Coturnix japonica: one gene and its partner. The protein of the gene in region 2 purifies or fractionates together with the protein of the main gene of each other region. This does not show direct contact. Links are inferred from orthologs where the notes say so. Each region holds a gene or a part of one and is shown on either strand. Other genes may lie near its edges.

What was found. The genes of interacting proteins can lie anywhere in the genome.
Region 1: the proteins of CCNA2 (region 2) and CDKN1C purify together in Homo sapiens (affinity purification with mass spectrometry; 3 studies listed by BioGRID and IntAct, counting the BioPlex papers as one, with this or other methods). This does not show direct contact. The link is inferred for Coturnix japonica from reciprocal best matches to the Homo sapiens genes CCNA2 and CDKN1C.

Annotation. Positions count from the first base shown.
Region 1 is NC_029520.1:11,344,699-11,348,353, forward strand, and holds CDKN1C (cyclin-dependent kinase inhibitor 1C), read right to left. Parts: upstream 2,440-3,655; 5' UTR 2,227-2,439; coding exon 1,752-2,226; intron 1,651-1,751; coding exon 1,529-1,650; 3' UTR 1,524-1,528; intron 1,426-1,523; 3' UTR 677-1,425; downstream 1-676. UniProt on the Homo sapiens protein: Potent tight-binding inhibitor of several G1 cyclin/CDK complexes (cyclin E-CDK2, cyclin D2-CDK4, and cyclin A-CDK2) and, to lesser extent, of the mitotic cyclin B-CDC2. Negative regulator of cell proliferation.
Region 2 is NC_029519.1:48,272,029-48,276,373, reverse strand, and holds the start of CCNA2 (cyclin-A2), read right to left. Parts: upstream 2,902-4,345; 5' UTR 2,887-2,901; coding exon 2,752-2,886; intron 2,649-2,751; coding exon 2,432-2,648; intron 2,107-2,431; coding exon 1,994-2,106; intron 1,686-1,993; coding exon 1,462-1,685; intron 935-1,461; coding exon 730-934; intron 1-729. Other genes in the region: BBS7 (Bardet-Biedl syndrome 7 protein), read right to left, coding at 3,527-3,663, 4,180-4,303. UniProt on the Homo sapiens protein: Cyclin which controls both the G1/S and the G2/M transition phases of the cell cycle. Functions through the formation of specific serine/threonine protein kinase holoenzyme complexes with the cyclin-dependent protein kinases CDK1 or CDK2.

The DNA of each region.
Region 1 (3,655 bases), on a different chromosome or scaffold from region 2:
TTCCGCGGCCGTGACGGGGGGGGGCAGCGGCGAGCGCTGCGGGGACAGCCGGGGCGGGGACAACCCGGCCTCGGTCCCCCGGCTCCGCCCGGCGGTATCGGGGCACCGTGGCATGGAGCCACCCCACCTGCGGTCGGGGCTGCCCCACACCAAGTGCGTGCCCCCACCCCGCGAGCGTTCATGTTGCCTGGGGGCTGCTTTTTTTTGCCCTTTTCTGGCTTGTAGTGGTTGGGGGAGGAATAGGGGCTGGAAAGCAGTGCTGGGCTCGGGCGGGAAAGGGCTTTTCCCCGAGATGATGGAGAAGGCGTGCACCCGGAAGGGACCCCCAAGGGCACAGTCTGCCCTCCCCCCCATTAATGTGGGGCTGCCCCTCGGCCCAACTTGGGCCTCAGCTCTGGGGGAAGAGGGAATCGCGATGCAGAAAGACAAAACTCAAGTGTTTTCAGGCATGTGCGTTCCCCATCTCATTTTGTCATGGCCAGCAGCACTCTCGCTTGTTTGTAAGGGAAGAAGCCTTTTTCTTTCCCCCTCCAACTACAGCCCATACACCCCCACCCTGCTTTGCAGCCACACTGTCCCCCCAGCAGTTTGGTCACAGTGCGTGCAGGAGCATTGGAAGATGCAACCAACCTCCCCCCCGCCCCCTCCCCCCTGGGTAGCAGCACAGCACACAGCATTGCAAAGGTTCCTGGGATGTTTTTATTATTGGAGGTTGTGGTGTTATTGGCAATGGTAGTGATACAGTCGGGCTCAGGAACTATAGGAACTTGTCTTCAAGTACAGGGAACAGACTGCAGGGTTCATTACTACATCACGTGAAGGCCAAAACAAAAAACAAAACCAAAATCCGACTATAAAAATAAATTTACATTTTGTAAATAACAAAAGCAAATATAGTGCCCTCTGGCTTAACCAAAAGGGAAAAAAAAAGACTATTGAATGTCAACCAGTTATCCACATTTCTGACATAAATAGAAAATATAAGTTAGTATAACTCTTAGAAAACGTTTTGTACAAATATACACGTGCTTCTTTCCTCTTCTTTCTCCTTTTTTTTTCCTTTTTCTTCTTTTTTTGTTGCACTGAGAGATCAGCAGAGATTAAACATTTCCATATAAATGACTTGTTTGTTTTTGTTTTGTTTGTTTGTTTTTTCCTCCGTTAAAGCTTTACACTTCTGGCCAGTGTACTCACATTAGGCATAATACATTTCTGTACAGAACGTCACACATTGCACACTCGTACGCTAACACTGCTCCGTGCGCGGCCGCTCCCGGCGGGCGGGCGCTGCGGCTCCGACCCGACTCCGGCGGCGCTGCGGGGCCCGGACCGGGCGCGGTGCGGGGGGGTCCCGGCTGCCCACAACTCCGGGGCACGGCGCCTGCGGGCTACGCACCTCTCCCGTGGGTGCCGTAGTGCAAAAGGCTGAAGGGATAAAGAGGGAGTTAGAAGCGAGGGGACAGAGACGTGGACAAGGCTGTGTCCGCTCCTCCCCCTCCCTTTGGCTCCCTGGAGCTTCTCACCTGGCTCAGCGGAGCCGCTTGCGGGGGGTGTGCTCAGCCGGCACGGCGGCGGGGGGCTGCGGGCAGCCCACGGGTCGTTCGGCCGCCGATTTGGGCTCGGCCGGCCTTTTTCTCCGGGCGAAGAAATCTGGTGGAGAGGGACGGGGGGAGGGGGCCGTCAGCAGCCGCAAAGATTGCCCCGCGATGCCGCTACCCCCTCTCCCCCGCCCGGCCTCCCTACGCACGCACCTGTGATGCGGGTCGTGGGGCCGCTCCGCCGTGGCCGCAGTGCACGTCGGCGGGGCGCGGCGCGGTTCTCTCGGCTCAGGCGCGCCCCCGGCCCTCCCGGAGCCTTGGCGGCGGAGGATGCGGTATTGACGACGGACGGCGGGGCCGGGGAGGCACGGCGTAGGGGAACGCGGTGCCGGCCCACCTGCAGCGTCTCCCGGTAGAACGCGGGCACGGTGCCGCCCTCCACCTCCTCCCAGCGCAGGCGGCCGGGCCCGGGCAGCGGCGTGTCGGTGTGGAAGTTGTAGTCCCAGCGGCGCTGATCGTCCTCGCCCATCTCCCGCAAACGGCTCCGCAGCTCCCGGCCCAGCTCCTCGTGGTCCACCGGCCCGAATAAGCTCCTGCAGACGGCGCTGCGGCCGGGCACGGGCAGCGCCCGCAGAGCCGCCAGGCGCTCCGGGGCCGCTGCCGCACCCGAAAGGTGCACGTCGGACATCGCCACGGGGTGGGTGGGTGCGTGGCCGCCCGCCCCCGCCGCTCCCCTCGCCGCCCGTCCCGTCTCGTCCAGTCCGGCACCAAACACACTCCGGCCCTGCCTCCGCCTCTGAGCCCCTTCCCCCGGCTCCCGGCTTTTAAACCCCGCTCCCCGCGAGGACGAGCAAAACAACTATTAGCATAATAGTATTTCCCCGCCGCCGGCCCGCCGCGATTGGCGGGGACCCCCCCGCAGCCCCCCGGCCCCCAGCGGCAGCCCTCCTGCCCGCGCCCTCCATTGGCTGCGCCGGGCAGCGCCGCTCCGCCGCCGGCCGCATTGGCCCGGCCCGGCCCCGCCGCGGCCCGGGGGGGCGGCCCCGGCGCTGGCCCGGCCCCGGGGGGCGGCACGGAGCTCCCCGCCCGCCGCGTCCCCGCGCCTTTGTCTGCTAGCGGCCGCTGCTCCCTCCCCTGTACTCCTTTCCTCTCCTCTCTTCTCGGGGTTGCTTTCGGCCTCTCCCTCTCGCCTTCCCACCAGAGGTGTGCGTGTTTGGGGCGTCCTCACTGTTAGTTTTTATCCTTTCTTTCTCTCTCTGTTTTGTTTGTTTGTTTTGTCCTTCCTTTTTCCCTTGAGGAGACGTTGCTCAGCATCTGCAAGCGCAGGATGAGGACTCGGGGTCGGTTCTGGCTCCGTGGTTTGGTTGCCCTGCCGCAAAACAAAGCGGGATGCTCACAGAGTTCAAAACAAGCTGAGGGCTGCTTTTAAAAATAGCACTTCTCGGCTGTATGGAATTAATAAACTGCAGCCTCGCTGAGCAGAAATACATGGAAACCACAGCATTTTCCTCTCCTAACTTTTAAGGCCACATAAATGCTTCCCTGGAAGCACTCCAGGCCAGTCTGGATGGGGCTTGGAACAACCTGGTCTACAGGGGGGTGTCCCTGCCTATAGCAAGGGGTTGGAACTGGAAGGTCTTGAGGGTCCCTTCCAACCCAAACCATTTTGTGATTCCATGATAAGACATGGTCAGCTGCACATGAGCTCATCTCACCATTATGCTGCTCTCCTGTTTGTGCAGTCCTTACCTTGTGGTGGGGTAGGGAGTGCCTTTTTAAGATGCGCATCCGAATGGATGTGTGTTCATCAGCAGGGAGGTGTACCTATGGCGATCTTAGGGAGCCCCAAAGCTGGAGGGGTGTTGGGAGCATCCAGACCAATGGGCCATGCAGCCTTAGCAAGAGCTGGTGCCGCGAGAAGTCCTCGTGCAGCAAGACAGTGGGTAGGATAAAGAGTAGCAAGGGTGTGTGTGATCACAGGCAGTTTGCAGCTTTGCATTTGCACCAGTGGCAGTTTTGTGTGGTACTTTGGAGTTCTGAACTCTGGGCTGTGCCACCAGCTTGGCGACCTTTCGAGTTATTGCAGCCTGGCTACATTCAGAACGGTAATAAAAAAT
Region 2 (4,345 bases):
CCTGCCCAAGTGAGAGGGCAGGTGCACGTGTCAATTTTAGACAGGAACACAGGGAATACCTAACAGGGAAACAAACCCCAAACTAAAATGCAGCAGTCTTGGCCTGCTTTGAGTAAGCATTCATGTGGAGCCAGGCCAAGTACCAGACTGTAACAGTAATGGAATGTCTCAAAGAGCAGCAATGACACTATTGCTTCCAGCAGTACAGATCTGCTTCTGGAGGAGCCAGAGGCACATCATGAGCACTTCTCAGATGTGTCCCAGAGAGATCACACACTTGAACATATTAGGAGGTGGAAAAGTCCACTCTAAAAAGCCCTTTACCACTGGTCTGTACAAATACAGCTGTAAGGTGGAATGATACAAAGATGGTAACATTCAAAAGGTTATTTATGAGGAAAAACTCACTGATATGGATGCCTTCACTGGGAAATGCTGAGGCAATCTCCACCAAGGAGCAATCTCCACCAAGGAGCAATCTCCAAGAGATGCTGCCCTAGTGATGGTCAGCCCTTAAATGAGGTCTAGAGAAGGTGGAGTCAAGCTCCATCCCTTCCTGGAGCACAGCTAAATTACTCTCACCTGTGCTCCCACAGCTGCCCCAACACTTGCCTCAGCTGATTAACCAGAGGTTCAGGCTGTGATTACCAATTTCCCATACAACAGCTCTTGTAAAATGCATTAACAACAGAACTCTACAGTTCCACAGACTGAGCTAGTAATCCTTACCATTGATAAGCTCTCAACTTTAGCGTTCGTCTGCTGGTGCAGGAAATACTGAGTGAGGAACTGGTTGATCGTTGGAGCTGCCAAATCAAATGACAAAACCTTCAAAATTAAGTGCTCCATCCTCAGAACTTGCTTCTTGTTGTAGGTGTCATCCGTGATGTAGACAAACTCTGCTACTTCAGGGGGGTAGATTTCCTCAAACTTCCTGCCATGAGAAACAGAAGCAAACAGTTAGGGACTAGAGAACCAGGCCACCAGCAACACTTCATTAAAACCAGTGTGCTGAACTGTGTGCTGACTTCCAAAGTAGCTGGATACAGTGACTGAGCAAGCTTGCTGCACTCAGGTTGATAGGTCTCAAATCACCTGAATTTGAAGTTAAAGAGTTTCAACAGCCTGTTATTTTGGGACTAAGTAATTTAGAACTTAAGAGTTACTGAAATTCCAGAAGAAAACTAAATAGCTTTTTCATACTCTTTCTTACTATTGCCTTAATTCCCTTGTGAAGCCTTTCACTCCTACATCTGGAAATCCTCCCATTAGGCCAATCTACAAAGACAACCTGGAATCTCACTTGCAAGGCTTCACATGGGCTGCCAAGCTTTTGTATATTTCAACCTATTACAAAGCCCTTACTAAACAATATGATTACAGGCTATCATATGAAAGCTACAAGACTTCCATCACTATGAAACCAGTAGGTGTTATTTTCCATCAAGAACTTTTACTTACGATGCGAGCAGCATAGCCGCAGTACCCACAAGCTGGAGCTTTCCTCTCAAAACAGACATTGAAGAAAGAAACCTGTCAATGTAATTTACAGCTAAGTGCAGAGTTTCATTCTGGAGCTTGTACTCTTCTCCAACTTCCACCAGCCAGTCCACCAGAATAGCTCGCATGTTGTTGGTGATGTCAGGCTGCTTCTTCATGTAGCCTATTTTAGGCTTGCATTTTACCTGTGGGTTCAGATGACAGACAAGACTGAGTTTGGATTGGGTGCCTGCAGGGAAGCAGTCACTCATACTCCCATTTACCATACCCAGACTGTTTTTAACAGGTCACAATAAGCAATGGTCAATCTGGACTCAGAAAGTTACATCTGCATCATGTGCTTTGTGGCTTGTGCTCAGTGCAGAGCGCAGCCAACCTCCCAGCAGGAAGCAGGGGGACTTACTCCTAGCTTTACTTCAGTCACTGTGGCAGTAACTTATCCTCAGATACACTCAGCCCAAATATGCGAGCAAGAGAACGGGTGGCATCTCACCTCCATTTCCCTAAGGTACTTGTGGATATCGCTGACATAGTCTGGCACATTGTTAACGTTTGGTCGCTCTTCTGCTTCTGAAGTTATGGAGATATCCATGATACTCGGGGAGTCTAGGAGAAAGGCCTCGTTAGAAGGGGCCCGGCAGAACCCCGTGCAGCAGGCGCGATGCTGTTGGCCGGCGGGAGGCCACGCAGGGGGGCCAAGCAGGCCCTGGGGAAGCCGAACCATGGCTCAAGGAGGAAGCGCCCCGCTGTCCCCACTAAGGAAGGGCCGGGAAGCCCTTTCCCGGCTGCCCAACACACTCCCCCCTTCCCTCCAGCCGAGCCCCGCGCTCCAGCCCCGTTCCTCAGCCTCAGGCCGCGTCCCGCCGCCGGCACCACATCGCGCGGGCCGGGCGCTCGCCCCGGGCGCGGAGGGGGCAGTGCCGCCGCTTACCGAGGCTGAGCTCCATGGCGTTGCCCAGGGGCGCCAGGGGCCGCCGCTCCCCCAAGGTCCCGAGGGCGGCCCGCAGCCCCGGCGCGTCCGCCGCCTCCTCATCCCGCTCCTTCTTCCTCTGAGGCCGCCGCGGCTCCTCGTCGGGCTCGTCCACGTAGACGCTGAAGGGCTGATGCCGCCCCGCCGCCGCGCCTCGGCCCTCTCCGTTCCGCGCCGCCTGCGGGAGCGCTCGGTCAGCGCCGTGACAGCCGCCCTGACAGCTGCACAACGCCCCAACATGGCGCCCGCCCGCCGCCCCCCGCCAAAGCCCCGCCGCTCACCTGCGCACCGAGCCCGAGCCCCGGCCGCGCCGGGCCGCCCCGCAGCAGCCCCAGCGCCACGCGGGTACCGGCGGCGGGCGGCGGGGCTTTGGCGGGCGGGGGGACGTTCTCCTGGTTCTCCTGCTCCGCCAGCATGGTGCCCGCCGGGGGGGGGGAGAAGCGGCCGAGGGGGAAAGGGCCGGGGGCGGCCGCGGAGCGCGGATGTGCGGGTGTGTGCGGGTGTGAGCCGGCGTCCCGCCGCCGCGCAGTCTCGCGGCCCGGAGCCGCTGCCGCCGTTCGAGCAGCCCGCGACTATTGAATCGCCCAATCAGCGGCCAGGCGTCACGCGGGCACCAGCCGCGCGGGGGGCGGGACCGGAGCGCCGCAACGCGCATGCGCAGCGCACACCGCGCGCCGCTTGGCCCCGCCCCGCCCGGTGACCGCGCAGGCGCAGCGCACCACACCACAGCTGGGATTAGAACTTTAATTAGCTTTAATTACAAACTCGCAGCTTCAGGTACAGGATCCTAAACGTACTTTACAAACATCGCTCTTACATTCCTACCCTCTGCATCGTCTCTAACTGTACTGAAAGTACAGGAAAAAGGCCGGTGGATACAGCTGTCTGTGTATATTCAGTGGAGGTGTGAAGATTGCTGTGTGCAGCACTCTATATATATGGAGTGTCCATTCTAATATATATATATATATGAACTCCAGTGCCTACTGCCCTCCCCTGGCAATAGGCAGCACACTCTGCACACACACACTGCACACACTGCCCGTCCTGTCCCGCTCAGGACGCGGCCTCAAAGAAGGCGAGCAGCCGGTCCTGCTCGCAGCCATCCAGCAGCTCCAGCAGCAGAGGAACTTTGCTCTTCACGTTGGTGCCTCGAAATTTAAACTTATCGATGAAGAGATCAGTGATCATACCTGCAAAAGTCAAATGTCTGTTGTCAGTACGACCAGCAACCAGCTTAATTTCCACGTGGTTATTTCTGCCTCACACGTGCCTGTCTCTGAATGGAGGAAGGAGCTGACCTCACAGAGCAGGCCCTGTATGTGAGGACAGGGAGCCCCTGAGCTGAAAGCTGAACAGGGAGCTCTACAGAAGGTTACAGACTTTCCTTCACTCAATTAGTTCCTCTCCTAAGATCCTCCCCTTCCACCCCATGTGCATTTGTCTATTATTTTGTAACACCTCAATGCTGGGAACTCCATCAGTCAGGTATACATACATTCTTAAGCTCCACCCCAACTCACAGCCCTCAGTCTTGCCAAAAAAGACAAGCTTAACGTACAGATGTAAAAAGCTACTGAGGTGTATCAGCCTATCAAATCATCTCAGCTCTACTAGTGCTGACCTCATAACTACTTCAGCAGCATCCAGGTTGCGCTCTCTGAGCGTTAATTTGCAGTTAGGACAAGAAGTTTAATTGATCAACAAACCGTAAAGTCTCTCGAGATGTGCAGGTTGTTTCTTGTATTCCTCCAGCAGCTGATCTGCCTCTTCCAAAATACTGCGGTATTCTGGCACCAAGAAGTCCGCGTTTCCTTCTTGAACTTGTAATTCCTCAAAGATATTTTACAACATAAAAATCAAAGGCGGTTAAGT